Linked DNA regions of Cricetulus griseus. The protein of the gene in region 2 interacts with the protein of the main gene of each other region in a pairwise test. Links are inferred from orthologs where the notes say so. Each region holds a gene or a part of one and is shown on either strand. Other genes may lie near its edges. The genes, in order: Psma1, Mkrn3, Fam110a, Tchp, Enkd1 and Polr1c.

Evidence for each region.
Region 1: the proteins of Mkrn3 (region 2) and Psma1 interact in binary tests that used the Homo sapiens proteins (3 or more experiments, as listed by UniProt). The two-hybrid records come from large-scale screens. The link is inferred for Cricetulus griseus from reciprocal best matches to the Homo sapiens genes MKRN3 and PSMA1.
Region 3: the proteins of Mkrn3 (region 2) and Fam110a interact in binary tests that used the Homo sapiens proteins (3 or more experiments, as listed by UniProt). The two-hybrid records come from large-scale screens. The link is inferred for Cricetulus griseus from reciprocal best matches to the Homo sapiens genes MKRN3 and FAM110A.
Region 4: the proteins of Mkrn3 (region 2) and Tchp interact in binary tests that used the Homo sapiens proteins (3 or more experiments, as listed by UniProt). The two-hybrid records come from large-scale screens. The link is inferred for Cricetulus griseus from reciprocal best matches to the Homo sapiens genes MKRN3 and TCHP.
Region 5: the proteins of Mkrn3 (region 2) and Enkd1 interact in binary tests that used the Homo sapiens proteins (3 or more experiments, as listed by UniProt). The two-hybrid records come from large-scale screens. The link is inferred for Cricetulus griseus from reciprocal best matches to the Homo sapiens genes MKRN3 and ENKD1.
Region 6: the proteins of Mkrn3 (region 2) and Polr1c interact in binary tests that used the Homo sapiens proteins (3 or more experiments, as listed by UniProt). The two-hybrid records come from large-scale screens. The link is inferred for Cricetulus griseus from reciprocal best matches to the Homo sapiens genes MKRN3 and POLR1C.

What each region holds. Positions count from the first base shown.
Region 1 is NC_048596.1:86,388,319-86,393,398, forward strand, and holds the start of Psma1 (proteasome subunit alpha type-1), read left to right. Parts: upstream 1-1,779; 5' UTR 1,780-1,927; coding exon 1,928-1,930; intron 1,931-3,326; coding exon 3,327-3,371; intron 3,372-3,896; coding exon 3,897-3,998; intron 3,999-4,102; coding exon 4,103-4,206; intron 4,207-5,080. UniProt on the Homo sapiens protein: Component of the 20S core proteasome complex involved in the proteolytic degradation of most intracellular proteins. This complex plays numerous essential roles within the cell by associating with different regulatory particles.
Region 2 is NC_048596.1:135,056,386-135,060,367, forward strand, and holds Mkrn3 (probable E3 ubiquitin-protein ligase makorin-3), read left to right. Parts: upstream 1-1,182; 5' UTR 1,183-1,297; coding exon 1,298-2,878; 3' UTR 2,879-3,798; downstream 3,799-3,982. UniProt on the Homo sapiens protein: E3 ubiquitin ligase catalyzing the covalent attachment of ubiquitin moieties onto substrate proteins.
Region 3 is NC_048599.1:28,036,529-28,041,505, reverse strand, and holds the start of Fam110a (protein FAM110A), read right to left. Parts: upstream 3,338-4,977; 5' UTR 3,124-3,337; intron 1-3,123.
Region 4 is NC_048597.1:94,317,492-94,322,402, forward strand, and holds the start of Tchp (trichoplein keratin filament-binding protein), read left to right. Parts: upstream 1-1,712; 5' UTR 1,713-1,857; intron 1,858-2,454; exon of another isoform or gene 2,455-2,489; coding exon 2,490-2,683; intron 2,684-3,028; coding exon 3,029-3,239; intron 3,240-4,911. UniProt on the Homo sapiens protein: Tumor suppressor which has the ability to inhibit cell growth and be pro-apoptotic during cell stress. Inhibits cell growth in bladder and prostate cancer cells by a down-regulation of HSPB1 by inhibiting its phosphorylation.
Region 5 is NC_048596.1:181,988,195-181,993,292, reverse strand, and holds the start of Enkd1 (enkurin domain-containing protein 1), read left to right. Parts: upstream 1-1,843; 5' UTR 1,844-1,907; intron 1,908-2,148; 5' UTR 2,149-2,163; coding exon 2,164-2,248; intron 2,249-2,328; coding exon 2,329-2,523; intron 2,524-3,139; coding exon 3,140-3,312; intron 3,313-5,098. Other genes in the region: CUNH16orf86 (uncharacterized protein C16orf86 homolog), read right to left, coding at 1-401, 499-743, 1,108-1,343, 1,561-1,644. UniProt on the Homo sapiens protein: Microtubule-binding protein which regulates microtubule organization and stability. Promotes the stability of astral microtubules and facilitates the proper orientation of the mitotic spindle.
Region 6 is NW_023276806.1:255,712,048-255,717,023, reverse strand, and holds the start of Polr1c (DNA-directed RNA polymerases I and III subunit RPAC1), read left to right. Parts: upstream 1-1,616; 5' UTR 1,617-1,708; coding exon 1,709-1,777; intron 1,778-1,892; coding exon 1,893-1,964; intron 1,965-4,177; coding exon 4,178-4,285; intron 4,286-4,369; coding exon 4,370-4,502; intron 4,503-4,976. Other genes in the region: protein YIPF3, read right to left, coding at 328-434, 575-772, 1,328-1,408. UniProt on the Homo sapiens protein: DNA-dependent RNA polymerase catalyzes the transcription of DNA into RNA using the four ribonucleoside triphosphates as substrates.

The DNA.
Region 1 (5,080 bases), about 49 Mb from region 2:
AAATGCTGAGCCATCTCTCCAGTTGCGAAACTATTTTTAAATGAGTATTTAACTTACCCATTCATTCAAAATCCATTATTCATTCAACAATACAAATTAAGCACTTTTAATATGTGTGAGGTTTTGGGCTGCTTTGGGGCAAACAAAACAACTTTATCAATTTAAAGTTAGAAGTACTTTTTTAAAATAACAAGAGCCTGAGCTGGAGAGATGGCTAATGGTTAAGAGCACTGGCTGCTCTTCCAGAGGACCCAGCACCCACATGGCAGCTCACAGTCATCAATAACTGCAGTTCCAGGGAATCTAACACCCTCACACAGACATACATGCAGGTAAAACATCAATGCACATAAAATTTTTAAAAATTCTAAAAAAATAACAAGAGACAGTGTTGGTAAATTTAGAGAACAAAGCAATCTCATAAACTGTTGAGTGCATATAAATGGGGGAGGGACTGAGAAGGAAAGAAAAAAGACAAGAAAAATAAAAAGGGGAAAAAAACCAACAATAAAACAGGGACCAGCACAATGGCTCAAAGGATTAGGGCACTTGCTGCCAAACCATGAACCTGAGTTCAATCTCCAGAATCCACATGGTGCAAGGAGAGAACCAACTCCTTCAAGTTATCTTCTGACTTTCACATAAGTGTATGCAGGGCCAGAAACATACACATAAAATATATAAATAAATAAATGTGAGAACAAATACATATACATGAAAATATTTAGAAGGTGATACTAATTGCTCTGAACGTGAACATTTAAGTGACGTGTTGCTCCGCCTTCAAAGTTCAGATCTTTAAGGATCCTTAGCCGACTCTGGGCACTTATCCTTTCTTCAAAGAATTAGCAGTCTGTAGATATGTTAGGTAGGCAGCAAGCGCAGAGCTGTCTCGATTTCATTTGAGGACAAATCAAAAGATGCTCTTTAAAAATTCGTAAGAAAACCCACAGCTTCCCCCTAGTGGCCTAATCTACCAGGCATAGCATTTAGTTGTGGACAGCCTATATTCAATATCAGAACAGAACCCTGGTGAAGTTCAAAGTCCCAGAAGAGCTAGTAATGTTCATGAAATGGGCGACATGACCATGGAACCATGAAGGATGGGCTGGCTGTCCAAGTACTCAAGATATTCCAGGCCAGAAACAGGAACACACACCCCACACACATACACGCACACACACCACATACATACACACCACACACACACACACACACACACACACACACACACACACACACACACTACGGTTACACACACACACACTACAGTTTTGTGGCTTTTTCTACAGCCTTTTTCACACACGCACACACACACACACACACACACACACACACACACACACACACACACACTACGGTTCTGTGGCTTTTTCTACAGCCTTTTTCAGACACACACACGCACACACTACGGTTCTGTGGCTTTTTCTACAGCCTTTTTCAGACACACACACGCACACACTACGGTTCTGTGGCTTTTTCTACAGCCTTTTTCAGACAGGCAAGTCCCCAAACCTCTATGGACTGTGACCGACATGATATGCGGCACGGCCGCATCATCCCGAGTTGGGTTGCGTTCAGCCTGGTGGATCCAGAGTCGGCGGGAATCTGCAATCCACCGGGGGAAATAAAGCAAAGAAAGTCAGTGCATTGGCGAGCAGCCACGCCCGACTGTCTCTGCGCACAAGCAGGCGAGCCCCGGGCTTTCCCGCCAATCCCAGTTCCTTAGCCTTACCAGACCCCGCCCACCCAGAGCCCAGCTGGAGGGCGGGGGAGCGCTAAACGCCGATCCGTGGCTCTGGGATAGACTGTGCTCCCTGCGCTGCCGCCGTCAAAACTCGGCAGGCCTCCCTGACGATCACCGAACCGTAGTTGGGTCCGTGTTCCTGGGTCGGCTACTGTGTCTGATTGTCGCCACGCCGGAGCCATGGTGTGTTGAGCCCTGGGTCCTCGGAGGGTTTGGGGCTGAGGTCCGCTGACTCGGTCGGGGATCGGCCTCTGTTTCCTGCGGCGCGGGGCGGTGGGAGAGGGAGCTTGGCTCACGGATGGGCTCCGGCAGTGATTCAGCATCTGCGGCCTGGCCGACGAGGAGCGGCCGGTAGCCGGGGAGGCCTCTGGGGTCGCTTCTCCACTATACACGGGGTCCAGACGCTTCTTCCTCGGCCAGCTAGCCACGCTTACCCCCTAGCTTCCCCCACTTAACTTCCGTGGCCGATTCCCGGCGACCCTGTGGTCCCTCGTGACTGCATAGGAGTGAGAGGGTGGAGAATGCACTTGGCCTCCCGGCACCGCCAGCGCGGACCTGAGCCGACAGTGAGGCCCTTAGACAGTGCCCATCTTCCTTATGGGTCCTTTTGGCTTTATCCGACTCCTTAGAATGCTTAGATTTGTCACCAGTTACAGATGAGAGGGGAAGTGATGGAATCAGGTTCACAAGGTAAGAGCCCCGGGCTGCTTCTGTCGAGCCTGCCATAGGAACTCTGATCCTCTCACCCTCAGGAATGTTCTCCCAAGCGCGCACACACACTTGCTTTAGTAGTGGCATTATAACAGTAGTGGTTCTGCCACTGTAGCTGTTTGTGCCCACTTCTTTACCTAGGATTTGTGTGTATGTTAATTCATTCAGTGGCAAGGTGCAAGAAGAGAACACAAAGTTAAACCAGACATAACTTTAATCATAATGTAAAGATAGAAGGTGTGGTGGTACACGAATTTAATCTCAGCACTCAGGAGGTAGAAGCAGGCAGATATCTGTGAGTTTGAGGCTGGCCTGACCTACATAGTGAGTTCCAGGACAGCCAGAGTATAGAGACCTTCGTCAAAAAAAAAAAAAAAAAAGTGTAGAGTAGATCATGATAGCACACAGCTGAATTTCAGCACTTGCAAGGTTGAGACAGGGCTTCAAGGTCATCTTCCCAGGTACATATCTTCCCAGGTACGTGGCAGATGAAGGCCAAACTGGGCTGCAAGAGAAAAAGAATGAAACCTTAAAGAGATAGACATTTGAGTCAATTTAAAGGCCTTTGGCAAATTATTAGAGCCTTGTATAAGAGAACAGTGTAAGCAAAGAGGAAGAAAAGTTGATATGTACATATTTTAGCCCCTGACTGCCCAAGGAGAGTGCTGTGGAGAGTGGCAGACTAGGAAATTAGGAAGACCCTAGACCATTCATCCCAACAGCTCATGGTTAAGGTAGACTTGACTTGCAAACTGTAGTAATGTCTCAGGAAAGTTGCAGGAGCAAAAACGTATGTAAGCACATGTCTTAATGTTAAAATTTGAGGTTTATAATGTCTCATAGTAATCTGTCTTTGTTTCACTTTCAGTTTCGAAACCAGTATGACAATGATGTCACTGTTTGGAGTCCTCAGGTAAGATTTTTTTTTTTTTTTTCCTGCTGTGTCTATGAAGTGGCTTTTCTTGGCTTCAGTAGGTTCAGAAACTTGTGAGATTGTAAACTGTGCTTGATGGTGCATATCTTAATCCTTACTGGTCAGGATACTGAGGCCAGAGATCATGGAGTTGGAGGCCAGTTTGAGCAGCTTAAAAGACCTTATCTTTAAAAAACAATGAAATAAAACTTGTGAAATTATAGGCTGTGAGCTTAAAGTTAGTTAGCTGCTCAATGGGGGAACACACCTTTAATCCCAGCATTCAGGAGGCAGACAGGTGGATCTCTGTGACCTCAAGGCCAGCTTGGTCTATAGAACGAGTTCCAGGATAAGCAGGGGATTGCACAGAGAAACCCTGTCTGAAAAGGCAAAACAAAACAAAAAATAGTTTATTTGTTTTAAAACTGAACTTCAATTATGCTCATCTAAGATCTGAAAACTTAAATTTTTAGTTAAAAGGATCTAAGGACTGACTATAAGAAGTGCTTTTCTTTTTGTCTTCAGGGCAGGATTCATCAAATTGAATATGCAATGGAAGCTGTTAAACAAGGTTCAGCCACAGTTGGCCTAAAGTCAAAAACACATGCAGTGTTGGTTGCATTGAAGGTAAGTGGAATGATATACTGTCTTCCTCCTTTAGGAAACAACTATCAAATGTAAATTTCACTGATAAACAAAGCTGTAAACTATCGTACTATGTCTCTATTTAGAGGGCACAGTCGGAACTTGCAGCTCACCAGAAGAAAATTCTCCATGTTGACAACCATATTGGTATCTCAATTGCGGGTCTGACTGCTGATGCTAGACTGTTATGGTACGTATGACCATGAAAAATTAAGTATCCCTTTTGATTCATAATGATTTATTTTACTAGAAAATATCCTAGTAACATATTTCAGGAAGTTGTCTCCCAGAATATAATAATTTTTAATTATTTTATTTTATACATATGAGAGTTTTGTCTGCATGTATGATTGTGTACCAGTGTGTGCCCAGTTCCTCAGAAGCCAGAAGAGGACATTAGCTTCCCTGGTATTGTGAGCTGCCATGTGGATACTGGAAATTGTATCTGGGTCCTCTGAATATTGTAATTTGTAATATTTGGGTGTGTTGTTAAGTATTCCCACTCCCTAATTCTTGTAGTGTTATTAAACATCCTAATGCTTTTCAAATGTCCTTGCATGAGGTAGTTGTTGACATGTATATTGTTTCAAGCCCTGTATTCCTAAGAGCTGGACATGCCTTGCCTTAAGGATGACCTGAGCCATTCTAGTTTTCTTTTATAGGTTAATATTTTTTATACATTTGTTTTCACACAGCTTAGTAGTATATGATATGGGTATAGAAAGATGACTCAGATACAGATCTTGTCTTCAGGGAGCTTAAAACCTATTTTATTTATAACACAGGGTGTGAAATAGAGAGTAACAGGCAAATCTCTTATCCGTAAGAGATAGATGTTTCTTCTTCTTTTTTTTTTTTTTTTTTTTTTTTAAGATTTATTTATTTATTATGTATACAGTATTTTGCCTGCATGTATCCCTGCAGGCCAGAAGAGGGCACCAGGGATGTTTGTGAGCTACCATGTGATTGCTGGGAATTGAACTCAGAACCTCTGGAATAGCAGCCGGTGTTCTTAACCTCTTAAGCCATCTCTCCAGCCTGAGATAGATATTTCTTGTTGAGAA
Region 2 (3,982 bases):
TTGATAATATTCTTACTTGTTTAGTATTGTTTTGTTGGCTTTGTTTAGATGCGACTTACACTTTGACTTGGATGACTATATCGTAGACATTAAGAGTTTCTTTAAATTTAGGCTATAAGATTCCCTCTAATAAAATTGTTTTGGGAAGCAAAATCCTATTTTTAGATAAGGAAGGAGAGTAAATTAAATATTTGAACATTGCGAATTCAAATAATCACGTACGTAGGGGAAGGGAAAAAAGCGTGATTATTAATTAAAAGCCAGCATAAACTACATTTAAAAAGTCATTGTGTGACCATGGGGAAGTACACTTAGCGTTTTAGAAATACATATAAGAATTATTAGCCCAATAGAATAGATGCGTAACATTAGGAAAAAAAAAAAAAAACCCACCCAAACTAATAACTCAGTGTGGCAATGGAAATGAGACATGTTAGGCTGGTATTTTGAAAGCCTAGTGCAGGATGCAAAGTAAGGCGGCAAACAAAGGGTCTGCCTGAATCCAGCCAGCGGAGAAAAGTGAAAACCTGTGTCCCCCTCGGAGTTTTATTAAGCCATCATCAATGCTGGCAGAAGCCCAGGCTTCTACTTTGCTGGGCGGATTACAGTAACAAAGGCAGGGGTCTGAAAGGCGCTAAATAGCTCCAGTCACACAAAGGGTCCCCTTGGGATTCAAGCGCACTGAATTAACCCTTCAGGGGCACACAGCCCCGGAGAAGTGCTGCCGTCTCTACACCCGCCGGAGCACAAAAGCCGCGGCAGAGACACTCCCGGATTTTAAAACTCAGCCGCCCATAGACAAAAGACGATTAGACAGGGAAATGATTTGTAACGTGTGCGAGTGAAACGCCATAAAAACCTCCAAGAGCAGTCGCGGCACAGGCGGCGACAATGGCGTTTCCTCACACAAAGAGAAAATAATGAAATGCGGTGTGTGCAACCGAATCCTGCGGGGGGGGGGGGGCGGTGTGGAAACCCGGGCTAGGGGCTCCCGAATCCCGCTGGGAGCGGCCGACCGCGGACCGCGGGTCCCTAAGCCGATAGCGGCGGGAGAAAAACATGGCTGAAGTAACTTCCGCTTTCACACCGGCAATTGGTGTCCCCACCGGAAGTGTCCGTCTGCCGCTCTGCGGGTAGGAACCAAAGTTCACAGGGGGCGGGTTTCTGGTGGGAAGACAAAAATTGGTGCACTTCCCTCCGAGAATCAGCCGATCGGTCCAGCTCCAGCTCCGCCGATTCAAGCACAAAAAAGATATAATATTAGACAGTTTTTGGACACTGTCAGGGGCGCATAACAATGGAAGAGTCTACAGCTCCCTCTGGTGCAGCCCCAGGTGCCGAGGAAGGTGCTGTGGGGGGGGCGGGTGTGTCCGCCCCCCCCCCTCCCGAGTTGGAGGCTTCTGGAGCTTCCGAGGTACTCATTTCGGCCTCTCCGCCAGAGGCATCGGGCCAGGCACAGCGCCTTGTGGCTCCTAGGCCGGAGAACCGACGCTCGGCGAGCTTGGGGCCCGTTCCGCCCGCAGGGGGCGGAGCCAGGTCTGGTTCCGACCACCACAGCGGCAGCTGGACAAAGCAGATCCTCTGCAGGTATTATCTGCATGGGCAGTGCAAGGAGGGCGATCACTGTCGCTACTCTCACGACCTCTCTGGGCGGCGGAGAGCTAGGGGGGGGCAAGATTCTCAGCCTCGGGCCTCTGCAGATAGAGGGCCCAAGATGGCCACTCACAGGGAGCCCCCGACTCAGGAAGAGGCGGAAGCCCCCCCTACTGCATCCTCCAGCTCTTTGCCTCTGATTGGCTCGGCTGCTGAAAGGGGCTTCCCCGAAGCTGAGATTGACAATGCAGGCATTGGCTCAGCTGGTGAAAGGGGCTTCTCTGCAGCAGAGATTGACAATGCAGGCCTAGCCGCAGCTGCTGCGGGAGGAGCGGGTGCTGAAGGCTGGGAGGGGGCAATTGAGTTTGTTCCTGGACAGCCCTACCGAGGTCGCATGATCCCCCCGCATGGTCCCGAGGCTCCCCTGGCGAGCCCGGAAGTTGAGAGAGAGCACATGGCTATGGGCATGGGGGCGCCGCTGCCGCTTTGCCGCTATGCTGCCCGGGGAGAGTGCCTCCGCGGGGCGAGTTGTGCATACCCCCATGGAGAAATATGCGACATGTGTGGGCAGCAGGCCTTGCACCCTTGGGATGCGGCCCAGCAGGAAGCTCATAGAAGGGCCTGCGTTGAAGCCCATGAGAGAGATATGGAGCTCTCCTTTGCTGTGCAGCGCAGCATGGACAAAGTGTGTGGCATCTGCATGGAGGTTGTCTATGAGAAAGCCGACCCCAGCGACCGCCGCTTTGGCATCCTTTTCAGCTGCAACCACACCTACTGTCTTAAGTGTATCCGCAGGTGGAGAAGTGCCACACAGTTTGAGAACAGGATCAGTAAGTCCTGCCCACAGTGCAGGGTCTCCTCTGGCTTTGTCATTCCTAGTGAGTTCTGGGTGGAGGAGGAAGAGGAGAAGGAGAAACTTGTGCAGCAATATAAGGAGGGGATGAGCCAGAAAGCCTGCAGGTATTTTGCTGGAGGCCTAGGTCACTGCCCATTTGGAGAGTACTGTTTTTACAAGCATGAATACCCTGAGGGCTGGAGAGATCAGCCTCCGAGGCCAGGTGGTGGCGGATCGTCAAACGCATACTGGCATCAAGTTTTGGAGCCTGTGCAGTTGCGAGAGGGAAAAGTGCTGTTCAAAAGCCGTAAGAAGGAGCTTGCTGTGCTTCGCCTGGGCAATCAGTTGCTTAAGAAGTTGCTTTGCCTGAGAGGCAGTTTTTCCTTCTCTGATGACCGGTGGCTCTTGCTTCAGTTCCAGCTGGAAGAGTATTTCAATTTGAATCTGTAGTATCATGCTATCGCATGTGGTCTAGTCTGCTAAGGCTCTGTTGTCTGCTGTTGCTTACTTCCCTCTATTGACTGACAACCCTATTGCTTTCAAAGGCTGTTGTGGCAATCTTTATGCAGTACTGCTGTTTTCGCTTCTATTTCCCATTTCTTCTCACTAGGATTGTGATGTTTCTCTGTGTTACAAGATAAGAAGAAATCTTAAAAGTATTGTTTGGTGGAATTAATATTTCTGTCAGCTGATGACTTGTGGTGTCTTTTTCCAACAGGATTCAATCACTTCTAGTCTAGTGTTTACAGTTTCTCATTGTGAAGTCCCTTAAGAGTAAATGTGACAAGGTGACAAAAGTCTTTAAATTATGAGCTTTTTGCTATATAGCCTTAAAAATGCAACCTTACAGGGCCTTGCAGCTGCTGTCTGTGTTTGTTTACATGTCTGTTTCTTCCCTTCTCTTTCAAGTGCAATTGTTAACTTGTGGTTACTTTGTGGTTCTGTTTTACTTGACCAAAATAAGGTGCATATGTTTACATGTTTTTATCCTGTTTGGCTTGATGTGAAATTATTTATATTTGGAAATATATATTTAAGAATGATATATATGCGTATATGTATATGTATACAAAGATGTATTTGAAAGAAATTGGAAACAAATAAACCCCATAATATATATGTTTGAAGTAACGAAATAAATGCAGAACTGAAAGCTTAATGTTAAATTCTAAGTGTATGGATTGTGTGTGAATTCTGTGGACAATTTCTCTGCCCCTGCACTGATGTCAGTGATTAGCATCTAATAAAAATGACTGCTTTGTGTATTGGACTCTTTTTAAAAGACTTTTAAATCATGAATCTCATAATTCCTGTGATAGCATTCACAATTTCTCTGTTGTAATCATAAAATGGATGTGCCTCTGATTGTAGCCACTGTCTCATTTTTCTTATCTGGTTCTTTTTATACTTTAGACGCAAAATACTTTTGACAAAGGTTTTCATGATAAAAAATTATAAGACCATCAGAGAAGATGGTAATAAATATTGAAATTAGTCAGAATATAAGAATGAAATAAAAATGAGGCATGGGAATTTTAAAATGTTAACCATAAT
Region 3 (4,977 bases), on a different chromosome or scaffold from region 2:
AAACGAATGACCAGAGCAGCACCTAGAAATCACACCTCTAAACACTCATCTCAAAGGACTTAGAGTGTGCATGCCAGCAAAAGCCCTCATACTAAATCCCTAGCAGCATTAGTCACCACAGCCAAAAGGTGGGAGTAATCCAAATACCCACCAATGAATGAATGGGTAAAGAAACACAAACCACATATCCAACAGATTATTCAGCCTTTAAAGGGGAGAGGAGACTAACATACTTTACAACATGAATGAAACTTGGAAGACATCGGGCAAAGTGCAATAAGCTGGATACAGCAAGGCATGCTTCTATGTATATAGAGTCAAAACACTGGGAACAAGGTTGAGTAGTGTTTGCCAGGGTGAGTTTGAGAGTGGGAAGTGACTGTTTATTGGGTATGGAGTTTCTGCAAACTTCAAAGTGGTTAGATGGGATCAGATAGGCTTGGGGTAAAAGTGCTTGCCATACAAGCCTGGAGATCTGGGTTCAATCCACCGAACCCACATTGGGAGATAAGAACTACTCCTGTGTGTCCTCTGACTTCCACATGCCTGTTATGTGGAATATGTGTTCATGGAATAAAAGCAGTAAGCCCCTCACTTCATAGGGTGGAGGTACATCGCAACTCAGAATGGTAAAATACGGAGTACATTGCAAGTGGTCTGAGCCCAAGCAGCTGTGTGTTCACTCTTCCCTTTGCTTCCTTTCTTCCCCGAAGAAGGTGGGTTTCTAGGGTTGACCATTTTTACGACATTTTGCACCACCCCACCTGCTCCTCTGTCCTTTCAAAGGAAACCTGGCTCAGGCTTGGTAGACAGGGAGGCCTTTAGTTGCTGCTGAGGAGGATCAAGAAGGCTCCAGGCAGTGGGGTAGAGCCAGCCCAGCTGTCCAGGTCAGAGACACCCGACTGGGCATTCTCCAGGGCAGGCCAGGTTCCAAGCTATTTCTGGAGTTTTCCCCAGGATCATGCCCCAGCCTGCCTATGAGGCAGCCTTGCTCAGAGTGGCTTTGCACGAACCTCAGGGAGAGGGTTATGAGTGGGTGTGGATGCCTAGGACAGTGAGCGTCTTTACGGACCCCCGCCCCCAATATATGCTCCTCCTCTAATTCAAACTTTGGGGACTCAGTTTGCACCCTGACAAAATGGGAGCAAAGGCAGATTTACAGTGGAAGAGGGAGAAGGAAGGGAAAGGCTGGGAAGGTAAGGCTTGAGTTAGACCTGTGGCCACGCCCATTTCCTGTCCTACAGTACCCTGTCTAGGCCTGAGCTCACATGCAGTGTTTATCCCCAGCTCAGAATGTGAAGAAACTTGCCCAAAGTCACACAGCCAGTGACAAATCACAGGCAGAGCAGTGACCTCATAGCTTTCTGGAGATGTAATCACCATGTCTACTTAGTGGCTTCTGAATTAGCTGTCCCACGGTCGAAACTACAAAGTGTGTCGTGTGTGTCATTTTCACTCAGCGCCTTTGCTGGGTAACCCACGTTCCTCTTGGTGCCACATCAGTACTTAAGGAGTTTCCGGTTATTTCTCATCAGCCCCTACTGGCCACTATGCATCTGTCCAGTTCCCGCTTGCAACAAGCCATGGCCGCAATGTAGCACCTGTCATTTTGCCTAAAAATGAGGTAGCTGGATGGGGTGGGAGGGTGCAGAATGCGTGTGTGTGTGTGTGTGTGTGTGTGTGTGTGTGTGTGTGTGTGTGTAACATCCATGCCTGTGCTTGCCAGAGTCTGCCAGAGCTGACATCACCCTACCCTGCTCCACCCCTGGCACAAAACATAGCAAATGGCCAACAGACGTTGGCTTTGATCATCTTGGTTCTGGAAGTTTCGGGCACCCTGACATTTTGTGACTGTGCTAAGCATCTTACCTGTCTGACACATTCAAGTGGAGAAGACAATAAACTGCCTAGTAAGACACCTAGTGTACAATGTGGAACAGACACTACTGAGAAAAACAAGGCGGCCACAGGAAGCCAAACAATGTAGAAAGAACAAATGAGGCAGGGGGTGTAGGCTCAGGAGGTATATGTTCAGTGGGTGTAACACAGTTGGTAGAGTGCTTGCTTAGCACGCACCAAGCCCTGGGTTTCATCCTAAAAATGACAAAAAAACTGGTGTAGTGGGGACCCATGCTTGTCATCAGAGAAGACAGATTCAGGGGGACGTTCAAGACCAGCCTAGTATACATAGTAAGACTGAAGCCAACTTGGGCCACACAAGACCCTCAGGGTAGGAGGAGATGACACATGGACAGACAGGCAAACACAGACTACCCCCAGAGCCAGAATGAGGAGTGGAGGATGAGCAGTTCCCCACAAAAGAGGCCCTCCATCAAATCCAGTTCTTCTCTGAATAGGTAAGACTGTGACTTTGAGCAATGGGCTCAACTTCTCAGAACCTCAGTTTCCCCATCTATGAAAAGAGATCAACAACAGACAGCAACCTGAGCGGGGAACATAGGCAGCCTAAATTATATGCTCCATTTGGGAGGGCCTACCCAGCACCCAACTCTAAAGTCCAGTGACTAGCAACTCTGGCTTAGAGGCTGATCCACCCGCCTCCAACACACAAAGTACACACACACCAAAGTACACACACACACACACACACACACACACACACACACACACACACACACACTACACACCACACACAGGAACAGACTCCCAAGAGGCCCACATGACTTCCAGGGCATTTGGATTTTCTGTCCTCCGGAATCTAGCCTGCCCCCCAGGGAGGCCCTCTGAGAGGGCAGCACTGGGATTCCGGACCATTCAGGCAGAAAAGTTGCCAGAGTCCCTGAGGAACGGAAGGCCATATGTCCTGAAGGGAAACTCCAAAGACAGTTGGGGTAGAGGTAGCCTAGCCCTGAGATCCCATAAGCCACATTCAACAAGCCCCTGAGAGTGACCAGCAGGGGCCCTCTGAACCTCTCAAAGAAAATCTGCCTGGAGTGGAGGCTGCAGGGTGGGACAGGGGAACAGCCGGATCCTCCGCTGGCCCCCTGGGCTGGACACTAGATAGACGTGGACCCTCGGTCAGCCCTCTGTGCTGGCACACTCGCCTCGAATGGTGCGTGGACCTACCCCAGACCCTGTGAGCCCCCTTACCCCCATGCTCACCTGCCGCCTGTGTCTGGAGGGTCCCCCGCGCTTCTCGCGAGCTGCCGAGGCTGACAGCTGGAGCGCTTGGTCCCAGAGCTCTGAGGCGGCCGTCGCGTGTTGAGACAGGCGGGCTCTTCCGAGAGGCAGGCCTTGGCTGTCCTACCGTCCTGCCGGACGAAGGTCCCCAGAGCCCGGAGGAAAGGGAAGTGAGCGAGCGGTCCCCGTCGCTGCAATGGTTCGCCCCGGACTTCCTGATTGGCCCTTCGCTTCCGTTCGAACGGCGCGCCACCCGAGTTGCCAGGCAACCTCAGGAGCAGCAGATGGGAGCGGGGCTGGCCCACGGTGGCCGCCAGGAGCCCAGCTGGCCGCGCGGCCTTCCGGCTGCCCCGGCCCTGCCGGCCAATGCGTTCCCTTTCTTCTTCTTCTCGTCCAGCTGGGATTCCCTCGGTCCCCACCTGCAGGAGTTGCTAGTCCCAGATTTGTTTGGTTTTGCACCGGCCCTAGTCCCATTTTTTTTTTTTTCTTTTTTAGGAAGGGCCTTGACATATAGCTAGCACATACTGGCCTCTCTTCACTTTTTTCTTTTGAGACAGGGTCTCACTAAGTTGCCCAAGCTGACCTTAAATTCACGCTGTGGTCCAAGTAGCCCTCAAACTTGTTATCTGCCTGCCTCAGCGTACCGACGAGTTGGTATTACTTGCCCAGCAGCCAACCTAGGTCCTGCTCCCAACTCTGCAGCTTCCTCTCTGTGTTTTCCAGGATCCCCTCTCCCTCTCCATTACCCTACTGCAATGGTAATTCAGTTAGTTTTCAAACGTGCACACCAGTAATTCCCACAATGCTTATCAAAATCAGGCCAATAGCCGGGCGTTGGTGGCGCACGCCTTTAATCCCAACACTCGGGAGGCAGAGGCAGGAGGATCTCTGTGAGTTCAAGACCAGCCTGGTCTACAAGAGCTAGTTCCAGAACAACCTCCAAAGCCACAGAGAAACCCTGTCTCGAAAAAACCAAAACAGAAAAAAAAAAAAAAATCAGGCCAATTACAGTATATAATATCCATCCTGGGAAGAAGCTAAATTGATCTTTCTACATAAATCTTATCAATACCTACCTTCAACTATCTACATTTTTCTGGTTAGGAATATTATGCAGTAACTTAAAATGATGCAATTAAATAGCATTTTAAAATAATGGAGGAATGCTAGGAAGTGTTGCCGGATTTTTAAATTTTATTTATTTTTAATTTTATATGCATTGATGTTTTGCCTGCATGTATGTCTATATAACTGTTGGATCCCCTGGAACTAGAGTTACAGACAGTTATGAGCTGCCATGTGGGTGCTAGGAACTGAACCTAGGTCCTCTGGAAGAGCAGCCAGTGCTCTCAAACACTAAGCCATCTCTGCAGCCCCATAGTGTTATGTTTTAAGCATGTTTCAAAGCACTCCTTACAGCATGAATAGGTAGTAAATACATAACCATATTATTCATACAAAAAGCATCTCCTATTTACAAAACAGCAGCTAACTCTTTTGCATTTAAATATGCTTCCATTCACTCTTTGAGAATGTCATACATACATACATACATACATACATACAATGTATTTTGATCATATTTGCTCCACTTTCCCCCCCAACTCCTCCTACATCCATCCTCATTCTCTCCTTCCTTTCCTTTTGTTTTTTATAACCCACCAAGTCCAATCTGCTGCCCAACTATTCATGGGTGTAGAGCTATACACTGGGCTGTGATCAAACCACCAAGGGCTGCACCCTTTACAAAGCAACTGACTTTCCTTCCCCAGAAGCCATCAAATGTGAAAAGCTCCTCAGCTAGGAGTGGGGGCTCATAAGCCCCTTCCTGCTCTG
Region 4 (4,911 bases), on a different chromosome or scaffold from region 2:
AAGAAGGCAGACGTCCTACAGCCCACTACTATGGGTGGAGGACCTTGGGGGTTGCTGTCTATGCAGCATCTGGCAAGTCTCTGTTATACTTTAATCATTGATTCAGGTAAAATCTTATCCTTCTCAAGAACTCTGATGCTTTTGACGACTGGCAGTCTTGCCAGCTTAAAGCAAAACAGATTCCAGGAACAGGTATTTTAGGGTTTATCTATGTGAAGATAGAAAAGTGTAAAAGAATGAAATATGTTCCTGATTTCTCTATTTCTCATGCTACTGTTCATAGTAAAGTTCAACAATACCACTATAGGAACATAACTACAAGGTCAAGATTAAGATGCTTTTCATGGTCCCCCCAAAAAAATCTGTCTATTTTTAAATGGTAATACTTTCAGCCAAGTTGCTTCTAACATGAATATGCTTCTAACATGTCTAATACTTATGTTTCCACAAACTCTAAGGATTCTTGTAAGTTCCAGGGAGCCGAATCAGATCCAAACAGGTCAGATTCACTTCATGTAATATTCAACCTTTCCCCGGTCCCAAATTCCCTTCATTCATCTTGGGACTCCTCAGGAACCCCTCCCTCATCTTACAATCTTCCCCTCAAGTGACAGGATCTAAGAAAAAATTTTTTTCTAAACTTAACCTTGTCCTCTGCTCTGTCAACATCTTGCCAGGTCTAAGAGGCATCAGGGAGTTCCATACAGCCTGGACTTCAATGAAACAACCAGCTTCCCCAGGACGTGGCAGCACCCCAACCTTCTCGGGTCCCCCAAAGATGGTCAACGCCCCCCACATCAGCAGGAAGCAGTCTTGAGAATTCGACGCCCTTATTCCTTAACCTGCCATGTCTAACACCCCACCTTTTTAAAATAATAAGTAGAGGTGGGAATGAAAGGTTCAGGCATTATGCTGGCCTGCTCCTGTTACCTGGTGGAACAGGCAGTACCCTGGTCAGCCCAAGATTCCATGGGAACTAAGTCTGCACGCAGATACAGAGGACCCCTTTAAAAGGACAGGTCCCTGCCCATTTATGCTCTCTGTTTCCTCTCTGTTTCCCCACTCTGCTTTGTCTCTGCTTTCTCTCTACTCTGTCTCCCACCTATGCTCTCTCTCTGTCTCTCTATGGTGACCGACCATGGCAGTCAGCCATTACCCTGTTCCTCTTCTCTTAGTCTCCCTACTCTGCCGGGCCTTATAATAAACTTATAGTCTTATGTCTCATGTCTCAGCATTCTGGGTGCTGGGTGCTGGGGATTGTGAGTTCAGAGCTTTGCACTTGCTAAGCACACACAATCGCGGAGTTCCCCAGCCCTGCTTTTTTAAAAATGGAATAGTTAATGCATAAATACGTGCAATCATGTGAGTTACAGTTATTAAAACCTCTGTACCCACCAGTAATCCAAGACATCAGTAGGAATTTACCAAAGACTTGTAATTACCCAGACCAGCTGTTACTGGCCTCTGCTGCCTACCGGGCAACACCCAGGGAGCACTGAAAATCATTTCTTTTTCCCTCGGGGCGTCTCCCTGGATGATTTTGATGTGCCCTATTTGAGAAACATGGGCTTAATTCTCCTCTCTCCTATTCCCTTGGTTTTCACCCCCACCCCGGGGACCGCCACCCTGACTCTGGGTCATGACTCACTCTGGCACCTAGCGACACTTGCTGTCGATTTTCCTCCTACCGCGAGGGGGCGCCAGAACAACAACTTCCCTTCTTTTTCCTGGTGAGCGGCTGCGTCGTGCAGGAGGTACTTTGGCCTTCGCGGCCTCCGTCGTCCCGCGGGCTGCCGGGCAACCGAAGGGGAAACGGCTGGCGTCGCTGCCGCTGGCGCCACAGAACTCTCGGATCTGGTGAGCGCGTGCTCGGGCTTAGGCCGGAGCCTCTTCTTGGAGAACTTGGGGTGCAGGGAAACACAAGTCAGAGGCTAGGCTGGGCCGAGACGTCCGCTGTCTTCGCTGGTCGGAGGTCTCCGGACACCGGATGGGGTGCATGTCCGGTGCTCGCACACACTGATAACTAAGTCATCGCCTTTAGTTACTTTTGTTGCTCTGGGGACAGGGCTTCCTGTTTTGCCCAGATTGGCTTTGAACTCCTGGACTCAAGTGATCTCGTCCTGCTTCGGCCTCCAAAGTCCTTGGGGCTGCTGGGGCCTGCCGCGGAGCCCTGCTTGCCCCTGTCATTTTATGCCTTTCCCGGCCTTGTCAGGAAGATGTCTGTGTCGGTAACGTCCCTGATAATGGCTGGCTCGCTGCCGGGCACAGTCCAGGTTCATTTAATTTGATAATTTGCAGCCTCAGTGGCACATCATTTAAAACGTGCGGGCCTGGGCCTCGTTGTAAAGTTTTGGGTGGCAATGTGGATCCTAAAGCTGTTATAAAGGTGCAGCCAAAGGGCGAGCGCCCTCGTAAAAGACAGGAGACCATCCAAGTAAGTTCCTGAGTTTGCAGCTGGCTTCGATTCTGCCCGCTGATGTCCCCTTCAGATGGCGCTCCCCACGCTGCCCTCTTATTGGCTCACCCGGAGACCCCTGGACAAGAAGGTAGCACGCCAACGCCAGCAAGAGCAGGAGGCCCAGCTTCGCCAGCAGTGGGAGCAGAACAGCCGTTATTTCAAGACTACGGACATCCACAGCTCCAAACTGGCCGAATGGAGTTCCAAGACCTCCTACCAAAGGAGGCAAGTATCAATGTCCTGCCTGCTGATTCCTACCATTAGCTGCTGGGGGCATGTGGCCTCAGGGCCTAAGTACTGTGGCTTGTGACAGCATGAGTAATCTATATGGTGATGCTATTCTAGCTGGAAATGGGGTGGTGTGTGTGTGTGTGTGTGTGTGTGTGTGTGTGTGTGTGTGTGTGTGTGTGTAGAATAACCAGTGAAATAACATGCATTTTGAAAGATAAAATCTATCAGTCATCTTTTCTGTAGGTGTTTGTGTTTAAATACCCGCCCCCCAACATATATAGAAATGCATATGAAACTGTGGCCTGGGTGTGGCTGATTCTCAGTGGGCTCCTTACCTAGCATGAACGCCTACCATCGTGAGAAGATGAAGGAGGAGAAGAGGATGAGTCTGGAAGCCCGCCGTGAGAGACTCAGGCAGCTTGTGCTGGAGGAGCAGGACCTGCTGGCCGCTGAGCTGGAAGAGCTGAGGTTGAATGTGAACCTGCAGGAACGAAAAATCAGGGAACAGCACAAGGATCTGAAGTCAGCCCGAGAAGAACGAAGGAAACTGGTAACCAGCCTAGACCCAAACAAGGTTGCAGAGTGGGAGTGTCTGAAGGCTGAACTGACCGTTGCATCTGTGGGGTTATTCTTGGGTGCCTTGGTCAGATGAGTTGGCCAGATGATTCTAAGAGTCCATGGGGAAAGCACTTTATTTATTTAGGGAGAAAAAGTCTATTTTAGCTCTTGGCTTTAGATGGTCTCAAGCCATTAGAAGTAGGGTTTGGTTTATAACATTCAATGACATGCCGGGGGGGGGGGGCTGCTTCCTCGAGCTAATTCCTCACCACTAAAGGCACCCAGGCTCCTCTGAATAGTGCCACCAGCTGGGGAGCAATTATTTTTGCTGTTGGTTTTTTGTTGCTGTTTTGAACGTGTCTCACCATGTAGTCCTGGTTTGCCTGGAACTTTCTTTGTAGACCAGCCTGACCTCAAAGTCACAGAGACCTGGCTGCCTCTGACTTCCTCATGCTGGGATGAAAGGTGAATAACGTGCCTGGCTGAGGGCAAGCATTTAAAATGTGAGCCTGTGATCAGAACCAGATATGGTAGAATGTTAAGGATTTGCCGGAGGTGGGGAGGACAGCTATGTTTTTTTCTGAGACAGGGTTTCTCTGTGAAGCTGTGGTGATGTATCATTTATGTTTAATAAAGATTGCCTGAAGTATCAGAAAGCAAAGCCAGACCACTATTTAGCTGTAGAAGCCAAGCAGTGGTGGTACACACCTTTGATCCCAGGACTCAGGAGATAGGCAAGTTGATCTCTCTGAGTTCAAGGCCACCCTGGCCTACATAAGAGTGAAGAGTAACAGAGCTCTCATGCCTTAGATCCCAGCACTTGAGATCACATGTCTTTAATCCCAGCCCTAGAGAGGTTTATAAAAGACAGGAGCCCAGTGTCTCAGGCTGAATTCTGAGGTTTATTCTCCAGCCACGCTGAGGAGAGGCAGCAGTCTGAGGCTTGGTGAAGAGTTCCTGGAGACAGGACAGCCCTTTCAACCTGAGGTAGAGCTAAGAGCTAATGACTGGCTTTGCTTTCTCTACCTACGACACTTTTTATTAAATCATAAATAATGTATCACCACCACATGTAGCCCTGGCTGTCCTGGAACCCGCTGTGTAGACCAGGCTGGCCTCAAACTCAAAGATCCACCTGCCTCTGCCTCCCAAATGCTGGGATTAAAGGTGTGTGATGGCTAACATCTGGTTTTCTTTCTGTAAGAATGGAGTTAATACTGGCCACAGAACAGGGTGAATGAGTTTGCCAGCAAGAGTGAGGGCCGACAAAAAGCCAGGGCCCACTCTTAAGTGTCTTTACAGGGAGTGTTTGATATGTGGTAGCTCCCTTCTCTGCCTTACAAATCACTACAAGTGATTCCTCCTTCCTGTGCTCAGTTCTGTGGTTCCACAAAGGTCTGGGAACACTGTATTTTATCTTCAAGTGGCTATGGTAACTAGCCTCAGTCTGTGTGTTTCAACTTGCTATGGACTTGGAAACTCCTAGAAGGAAGCCAGCCATAGCATCAGATTTTAGCTAGCTCTTGGTCCATTCTGCTCAGATATCCTGTCCCCAGACTTGTGTGTAAGGAAAGCAGACTTGAGTGACAGATGTGTTGACATTGCTGAATGGAGGTCATGACCTCAGCTGACTTCTATTGGCTTTGTCTAGGTGAATGGATTTG
Region 5 (5,098 bases), about 47 Mb from region 2:
CTGAGGGGAGAGGGGGGGTACAAGAGGAGCAGCACAGACACTCAGCATCTTGTCAATATCCACTTGGGTTGTCTTATCCACCTCAGCTTTGAGGCTGCCACTCATCCTCAGACTAGACAACCCCCCAGGCTGCTCTCCAACCTCCTGTCCTAGAGGAGGAAGAGTGTGCGTGAGTGGTGCTAGTGTATTTGGGCAGGGCATAGCAAGGCCTAAGCCCAGCTCACCTGTCACTGGCAGCAAGGCCTGCAACTGCAGCTGTTCCACACCCGCCTCCTCAGGAGCCAGGGCCAACTCCGACTCAGGCTCCACCTCTGGCTCTCTGTCCCCGTCCCCTGCCTGATTCAGCTCAGGGTTGCAATAGTTGATATATTGGTACAGTGGCCGCAGGCGCTGGGCTTTTCCTGCAAGAACCGGAGGCAGGGCAAAGGCTGGAGCATCAGGTGGTGCCATGTCAGACCCAGAAGACAAAAAAAGGTACCCCCAGAGATTGCCACTCACGCTCCAGCCCCAACGTCTCCGTAGGTGTGGATGTGCCAGCTAAAGCTGGGGGCACAGGAGCCCCTACACTCTTGCGTTTCTTGGCTTTTTTGTGCTGTTTAGCAGACAGTGAGGACTCACTGTGACTGCCCTCTGGCTCCTCCTTCTGCAGCAGCAGCCCTGGTGGCAGCTCAGCTTCAGCCCTAGGATGGGCATGGTAGCTTGGCCCTGGGAGGGCTGGGGTGCCCAAGCCTGGAACAAGAGGCCTGAAAGAGGTGCACTTCAGTCTTTGGCTCCTGTGTCTTGAGCCTAGGGCCTAGCCCAGCCTGCCCACCAACCCCAGGACTAGTCAGCTGCCCTTTCCTGGTCAATGAAGCTCCAAGCCCAATAGAGACCTGCTACTCATGGTAACACTGTCTCTTATAAGACCTGAAAGCCCCAAATCTTTTTTTTTTTTTTTCTTCCTCTTAGACTCCTTTTCTAGAGAAACAGAAGTTTCTAGTTGGGAGTTGGGGCAGTTGCAGAAGACAAAGATATCTGCCTAGAAGGAATCAGGATTTAGGAAGCTCGGGGTGTAAGATCCCCACCCCCTTCAGCCCTGCAACTCCTTCCCTCTGAAAACCCCCTCACTTGATAGGCTTTCTCTTGGGTCCATGACTGGGCCTCACGATGGATGATGTAGGCTTGGGTCCTCTCTCCTCTCCTGCTTCCACCCCTGGATTGAGCCCTTCCTCTCCCCGGTTTATTCCTTCCTCCTGGAGCTCTGGCTCGAAGCTGTGTCCTACTGAATACTTGTCTTCACTTGGGGTTCTGCAGGTCTCATGTGCGGGCACCAGACACTTTTCTCCTGGTCCTGGTCCTGGACACTGGAAGATACGCAGAGTAGCCAATGGCCAGGCAAAGTATTGTAGGGACCAGTCATTCAAAGTCCAGTATTGGCCACAAAATATGACATGAAGGCTACCAGCTCAGGCCCCTCTACTTGCAGGACTCGACCAGGCAGTTAGGGGGTTGGGTCACCTACAGTCCCCCTCTCCTGCCCTACCGCTTCTACCTCCCTAGCTTCGAAAATGCCTGAGTCACCTCAGTGATCTCTGCAAGCTGGGCTAATCCTACTGTCGCCCCATTCTGGGCATCTGGCTGCCTCTGGGCCCCTGCTGAGGCCATGGCTGTGCGGAATCAGTGCATCCCTTGACGGTTGCTAGGAGAAGACGGCGGGTTCAGAGGAGGTTGGACTGGTGTACTCAGTCTTGGTAGGGTAGACCCGCTGGGAGGTGAGACCTGCGACTTAAAAATAGTTCCTAACCTGGAACTACAAACCCCAGAAGGCTTTTCGCCGAAGTTATTGACCCCTGACCTCAGGAAGTCATTTGTTGCCAAGCAACAGCAACTCCTACTAGCTTGCAACAGTTGGCGGTAAAACTGCTCCAGTGAGAGCCCCCTCTGGGGTGTTGCGGGGGAGGGGTCGCGAACACCTCAGGGCAGTCGGCCAGGATCCCGGTAGCAGGATGGTGGCGCAGACTGAGCCTAGGGACTGGGCGAGAGACGAGGGTGGGGGTCGGGAATGGGGGCTACTGCGGGGCTGCAGGGCTCGGGTGGCGGATGGAAGCACCCAACAGGGATTGGGGGCCGAAGTTGCGCAGCGCAGCAGGCTTCGTTGCACGGTTGCAGGGCTGCGATAGGATCATGTGCGAAGGCCCATCCAGCATCTCTGGACCCATTCCCCCAGACCCTACGCTCTGCCCGGACTACTACCGGCGGCCGGCCTCGGGTGAGTTGCGGGGTCCCACGGCGTGGCGAGTAGCTCGCGCCGCCACTGAGCACGGCTTTCCACCGCGTCTTGCTCTTCAGCCCAAGGGCGCCTGGAAGGAAACGCACTGAAGCTGGACCTGCTGACTTCAGGTCGCGACATGGACTTCAGCCCTTCTCGTGGCCCCCGCATCAGGCCTGGAGCCCGAGAGATACTAGAGCGTGGCCAGCGAGGCGTGGGAGACGTGCTGCTGCAACTGGAGGGCATATCCCTTGGTTCAGGGGTATCTCCTAAGAGTAAGTCCTTGCCAGAAGTGGTATCGAGGCATTCGGCGGTCAAAAGCAGAAATTAAAACAGGATGCTTCTTAATTGCCTTGAGCCCAGGTAATTAATGTACTTTTGTGGGTCTTAGTTTCCCTAGCACAAAAAGAGGCCGAAATGCACTACTTCCTAACAGGATCAGAGTTCCGTTCTTATGTAGGTAATCCTAGCTTCAAGCATTCACACCTCGATGGAACGTTGTTTACTTAGCCTGCTTTTGTGCCAAGCCCTATAGGTGTTGGGAAAACAGACTTTAAAAGTATGAGTGGAACAGTTGGAGGCAATAAACAAGACAGGACAAGGTAATGGTATCACTATCAAAATGTAGAAGATACCAGAAGGAACACTGTGGAAGGAGAGATTAAGATGATAATAGTGCTGTGTGTATGGAGTCTAGCTTACATAAAGAGGTCTTGGTTGTATTTAAATGTTGTGTGTGTGATGTTGGATATTGAAACCCAGGGCCTCTTGTATTCTAGGCATCTACCAGATTGTCTGGGAGAAATTTCTGCAAAGGATACAGTGTGAGCCTGTGTGGTCTAAGTCCCATGGCCATTTGTAGAGTTGTCCCTAGCAACAGTTTTTCCCCAGGGAAGGATCCAAAAGACCATGAGAAGGAAAACCTGAAGCGGATCAGAGAGATTCAGAGGCGCTTCCAAGATCAAGAACGAAGCCGGGAGCAGGGCCAGCCTAAGCCCCTGAAGGCACTGTGGCGCTCACCCAAGTATGACAATGTCGAGTCCCGAGTCAAGGCCAGGATGAAGGTATCTGTTCCTCGTAGCCAGACATATTGTCCCTATTGGCCAACAGACAACTATACCCTGATCTAACTTAAAGGGTATGTGTAGGGGGATCATAAAGGCTAAGACATCTGGGGTGGACCTTCTCTGAGCTGCTGATGACATCAGGACAAGTAAGAATTAGGTTAGGTGGACACATGGGGAAGGGCCTAGGCCTGGCCCAGGATGATGTGGTAGACTTTGGGGAGCCCCTTTTGAAGGCCTTACCCTGCCTGGGGAGTGGAGGGGGGATGGCTAGGGGCAGGTGGGATGTTGGGGGGAGGAGAGGGAGAGGGAGAAGGGATTGACATCTGAAGCAAGCTTGTTCCTAATTTGAACTAATAAAAAAAAAAAAAAAAAAATTAGGCTAGGGGAAGAGATGAGACCATAGAGATGAAACCTCACAGGTAGAAAGAAGTCCTGGGGTCAAGGCAATGGGGATAATAGTTATAATTCAATATGTAGACAATTAGAGCTGAAAGCTATCTTGACACATATCTGAAAGAAGTACCTAAGCTACTTGTCAACATCATTTATTTGTAGTGTTGCAGATTGAATGCAGGGTCTCTTGCACCTTAGGCATACAGTGTACCACTCACTAAGTTATGCGCCCAGCCTTCCTACTAATTCATTCTCAGTTTCTCTGTCTCTGTCTAGCCCAGGCTGTCCTCAAACTCTGTGTACATGACTAGAGTTGACTCCTAACTCTCCTTTTCCACCTACCAAGTACTGAAATTAAAGATGTATAGTACCAGCCGGGCGTTGGTGGCTCATGCCTTTAATCCCAGCACTTGGGAGGCAGAGGCAGGCGAATCTCTGTGAGTTTGAGGCCAGCCTGGTCTCCAGAGCAAGTGCCGGGATAGGCTCCAAAGCTACACAGAGAAACCCTGCCTTGAAAAAACAAACAAAACAAAACAAAACAAAAGATGTATATTACCATACCACTTTCTCTCTTTTTCTCTTAGTTAATTGATTTTTGAAAAAAAAAAATTATGGGGCTGGAGAGATGGCTCAGGGGTTAAGATTGCTGGCTGCTCTTGCAGAAAACTTGGGTTCAATTCCCACCATCATATCAGCTCACAACTATCTATGAGGGTTCCAGGGGATCTGGCACCCTCACACCAATGCACATAAAATAAAATTAAATGAATTAGTTTAATTTTTTTTTTTTATGTGTATGGGTATTTTGCCTGCAAGTCTATGTGTCACAGGGGCCAGAAGGTGGCATCAGATCTCCTGCAACTTTTGTTCTAGACTACTGTGAACTGTCATGTGATACTGGATACTAGTCCCCTGGAAGAGCATCCAGTGCTCTTAACTGCTGAGCCATCTCTCCAGCTCCCCCAACCCTACTACTTTCTTTTGAAACAGGGTCTCAATATGTAGCTTGGTCTAGCCCCAAAGTCATCATGTAGGAACAGGCTGGCCTCGAACTCACTAAGATCTGCCACCAATGCCCAGCTAGCCTTGAACTTTTAATATTCCTCCTGCCTTAACCTCTCAAATGTCGAGGTTATAGGTTTGGACCACCACTTCCAGCTCACTCCTTTCTGAGGCTGTAGCTTGCTGCTTAGCCTCAGGCTGTCCTTGAATTCTCTGTATAACCTAGACTGGCCTCAAATTTTTGCCCCTTCTACTGAAGCCTCCTGAGTCCTGGGACTATAAACATGTACCACCATTCCTTGAAACGTTTCTGAGGACAGAGAGGAAGATTAGTTACCATTTCTCTATTCAGGAACCCAGAAAGACACAGAGGACTGAGAGAAAAGAC
Region 6 (4,976 bases), on a different chromosome or scaffold from region 2:
TACAAAAAAAAAAAAAAAAAGGAAAAGAAAAGAAAGAAAGAAAGAAAGGATAAAGACAGCAGAGTCTGCTTTTGAGAAGCTCTTGGTCTCGGGAGAGACCGACCAGGAATAAAAATCTATGTAGCCACATGGTAGAAGCCAGCAGAGTTGTCTAGGAGTCCCAGCTGGGGAGGAATGAGGACACAGCAAGTGCTGTCCGAGCGCGGTGTCTGGTAAGATGGGCAGCATGCACACACTTTCACCACCAGAGCTCAGGGCTCAGTATCTGACTGCAGTCTGGATGAGGGACTAGATGTGAGGACAGACTCTTCTGAGAAGACTCCTCACCTGCTTCGGACCTGAGCAGGCTCCACATCAAAGTAGGGTCTCAGGATGTCGATGTTGGCATACAAGCTGAAGGCTCTGGAAGCTTGTCTCTTCCCTGCCTGCCACATCTGAAGGGAGATGGGTATTATGAAACTGGTGGCTCTAGACTGTTAACGTTACACAGCCTTTGCCAGATTTCTGTGTGGTTCTCCCTGGAAAACCTACGTCACCTTGGGACACACATGGGTCCACTTTCCCATCTGCTTACCTGATCAGCCACCTGTCGGCTCAGCTGTCCCTTAAAGCCTTTCATGCCCAGAAACTCGCCATCCTCCTCTTCTGCAGCAGCTGCGTCGGCATCCACTTCTTCCTCACGCAGGCGCTGATGCAGCTCCCCCATGTCCTCGAAGCTGGAGCCTGACGTGTCATCCATGTTCTCCATGTCAATCACGGCCGAGCCCCCGCCCTGTGAAGACAAAGGCTGCTAGAGAGCGGGGCCTTCTGTTGCACCCTTCTGCTCTCTGCTCATCGCACGGTTTGAGGCTTTGCTCTCCCACTGATGAGGACATTGGAATTGCTACCCATCGTGCCAAACTCCTCCTTGTCACTGCTGGCACAACTCTTGTCGCCACACTTTTGTGGTTCAGAAAACACACTACTCATCTTCAATTCACGTTGTTTTCCTACCTTCCCCCTCAAAGCTTCGAAGTGCTGCACCGGGGCCGACCTGCCGCCACCCACCTTCAAGCAAGCCTATGTGCACACAGGCCACCTTTAGGGGCTCCAGGGAATCAATCCTACCCTCTAGCCCTGCACCTGCCTGACCCAGACAGGCCGCCCAGCCACGGAGACCCGAGGCCCGCTGCAGCCTCGGCCTGGCCCTTCCTCCTCAGCACAAGCGCTACAGACCTGGGCGTGGGAGACTCAGCGGCCACCACTTGCAATGGAGCCGACTTCCAGGCCGCGAGAGGGGACGGCGGCCAGCCCGGGGGCTGCCGGCAGCCGGGACACCGCTCCATACCTGGATGTTTTCTTCGAAGCCTCCCCACTCCGGGCCAGCTCCGTTTCGGACGCCGCTGGCCGGCGCCGCGGGAGTCGCCATGTCCCTCGAGGCTTTCCGTCGCTGAAGCTCGCGGGCGTGGGACCAGCGTGAGACCCGGGCCGGAGAGAAGGAGGAAACGTCCAGGAAAGAGAGAGGGCGAGGTAGTATCAGCCGGAATGCAAACAGGAGAAACCCGGATGTTTGGCCCCAATTGACGTCCGGAAGTGAAGGACGTGGACGGGGCGGGGCAGGATATCGCGACATTTATAAGTTCAGGAGGCGGGGCGTTGCCAGGGAGACGGCAACGGGCCCCTAGTACGCCTGCGCGCACCGGAGGCGTCTCGAGGCGGGTGGTGGACGATGGCGGCGGCCCAGGCCGTGGAGGAGATGCGGACGCGCGTGGTTCTGGGAGAGTTCGGGGTTCGCAACGTGAGCTCGGAGCGGAACTCGGGAGGGTCGGGGGCGGGATGGGGGAGGAGGAGGGGAGGGGACCTGGCTTGCGGCTTGTCCTCACCGCCCCGCTGAACACATCTGTTGGCTCTAGGTCCACACCACCGACTTCCCCGGTAACTACTCGGGTTACGACGACGCCTGGGACCAGGACCGCTTCGAGAAGGTGGGTGCGCGGGAGGTGTCCCGGCGGCCCGGGGACCAGACGGCTCACGCTCGCCGCGTTCCAAAAACGTGTGCTGAGCCATCCATGTGCTGGGTGCTGGGTGGCCAGGCCGCCCGGGTGGGGTGAAGGCCCACGTGATCAAGGGATCCCGGTGAAACACAAGAGCGGCGAGCACGGCCGGGGTGCGGGAGAGGAATCCCGTAGGTGACTTAATCCGGTCCGTCGGAGAGACGGAGACTCGGGTCAGTGAAGGAAGACTGGCCAACAGTTAGGCCGTGCAGGCCTAATTGGAGCATTGTTGCAAACGCTTGTTTGCGCAGAGCCTGCTCCAGCAGTTCATTATCGCCAGATGTCAATACATTGGCCCGAGTGGTAGACAAGACCGGGGTCTATCTTTTTCTCTTTGAAAATTTATTTGTATTTTATGTACATTGGTGTTTTGTCCGAATCTATGTGAGGGTGTCGGATCCTGTTGTCAGTTACAGTGTTGAGTGCTGGAAATTTAAACTCGCGTCCCTGATTGGGGTGTTATCTTAAGCTCTGCAAGTTAATAGAGAGCTCTGTTGTTTTTTTTTTTTCGAGACAGGGTTTCTCTGGGTATCCCTGGCTGTCATGAAACTAGCCTTTCTGCCTCCTGAGCGCTGAGATTAATAGCATGAGCTACCTCGCCTGGCTTAAAGAGAATTTTTCAGTAGACTGATCTAATTTTGTAACCTTCATAGCTGGGAGGGAATGAATAAATTCCACTGGTAGTGGAAATGGAGCAAAAGGAGAACTAACAGCTATGTACCATATAGCTTTGGTGAGGGGTGTGTGTGTGTGTGTGTGAAAAAGGGCCTTGTGATGTGGGGAATTTAAGGAGTTTTTTTTTTGGGGGGGGGGTTATGTGTTTACCTGCATGTATATTTGTGCATTTGTGTGACTGGTGACCCAGGGAGGTCTAGTTAGGTCCCCAGAACTGGAGTTATGCATGGTTATGAACCACAGTGTGGGTGCTGGGAACCAAACCCAGTTCTTTTTCTTTTTTCTTTTTTTTTCTTCTGTTTTTCGAGACAGGGTTTCTCTGTGGCTTTGGAGGCTGTCCTGGAAGTAGCTCTTGTAGACCAGGCTGGTCTCGAACTCACAGAGATCCTCCTGCCTCTGCCTCCCGAGTGCTGGGATTAAAGGCGTGCGCCACCCAACGCCCGGCCAAACCCAGTTCTTCTGTAAGAGCAGTCAAATGCTCTTAACTGCTGAGCCATCTCGTCAGCTCCATTAGGGAAGTGTCTTGATGGCTGATTGTGTCAGTTGATAAACAGGAGAAAAAGAGTGATAATATGTTCAAATTCCTGTATGTGAAGTCTGTAGGTCAAGTGAATGATGCCTGAAGTGAGATCAAAATGAACCCAAGTTTGGGGAGTTGCTGAGTAGTTGCTTAAGCCAGGAGTGTGATTGAGGTCAGCCAAGAGATTTGAACCTGGGAGAAAGTAACATTTACAGGGTGAGAGGAAGAATTTAGAATATCAGATAAGAGAACTAAATTGGTGTTCAAAAGTCAAGGGAGTAGAATTTGAAAAAAGAGGGATTGAAAAATAAAAACAAATGCAGGACTAACTTGTCTAAGCAGTGTGGGACGTTCTGCTCTTCAGTGTAGCAGCTTCTGTGGGTTGTTTTTGTGGAGCCATATTGCCTAGGGTCTTTTTTGGGGAGAGGGCGGGGGTTGAGACAGGATGTAGCTTTGGAGCCTATCCTGGCACTCCATCTGTAGACAAGGCTGGCCTGGAACTCACAGAGATCTGCCTGTGTCCCCCTCCCCCCCACGCGCGCGCGCCCAGTGCTGGGATTAAAGGTGTGCACCACCAATGCCCGGCTTTGCTTAGGGTCTTAGTGATGTACACCTTTGATCCTAGTCCATAGAAGATAGGTAAGTATTCCTGTGAGTTCGAGGCCATTGTGGTTTACATAGATAGTTCCAGAAATGCTAGGGCAAGGTAGGGAGACCCCCCCTTATTTTTTAATTTAAAAAAGAAAGAAAACCAGCCAGGCTTCTTACAAAACTCAAGAACAGGGCTGAAGACAAAAGTCTAGTGATCATCTGGTCACAGGAAGGCTTTAGGATGAGAGAGGGTGGACATACATGGAGGGACATTGCCAGGGTGGGAGTAATCACAGAGGGAGGCTTGAATTACACAAGAGAAACAGGTGTTCCATCAGTTTTTTCTCTATCCCTCTAGAATTTCCGTGTGGATGTTGTTCATATGGATGAAAATACACTGGAGTTCGACATGGTGGGAATTGATGCTGCCATTGCTAATGCTTTCCGGAGAATTCTGTTAGCTGAGGTAAAAGAAGACGTGTGGGTCTCTTATTTCCAGGTAGGGAGATCAGTTGGTGTTGCAGTTGGATGATTCTGCTTTTTTGAACAGGTGCCAACAATGGCAGTGGAAAAGGTTCTGGTTTATAATAACACATCCATTGTCCAGGATGAGATCCTTGCTCACCGCCTGGGGCTCATCCCCATTCTTGCTGATCCACGTCTGTTTGAATATAGGAACCCAGGTGAGATTGAGAAGATGACTGTCCTCAAGTGGGTTGTGGGCTCAGATCCCAGGCTCACCACTGTGAGACCTTGGTCGAGGCAGTCAACATTTTGTACATTGGTTTTCACCTGGGAGAACACTTGCCCTTACATTAATTTTGTCTATATGTAAAAGCTTGCAGCATAGTGCCAGCACTCAGATATATATTTTAATTCTTTAAAAAACTTTGTGTGCTGTGTACAAGTACACACAGCTGTGAAGGTCAGAGGACAGCTTTGGATTACGTATTTCTGTGGATTTCAGGGGTTGAACTTGGGTCTCCAGGTTTGCTTGACACCTTTATTGTGAGCCTTCATACCAGCCCCTATTATTAATTAGAGGTAGGGCCAGGCATGGTGTACATCTTTATTCCCAGCACAGGCAGTGATGAGCTGATCTCTCATGAGCTCAAGGCAGCCTGCTCTGCATAGTGAATTCCAGGACAGCCAGGTCT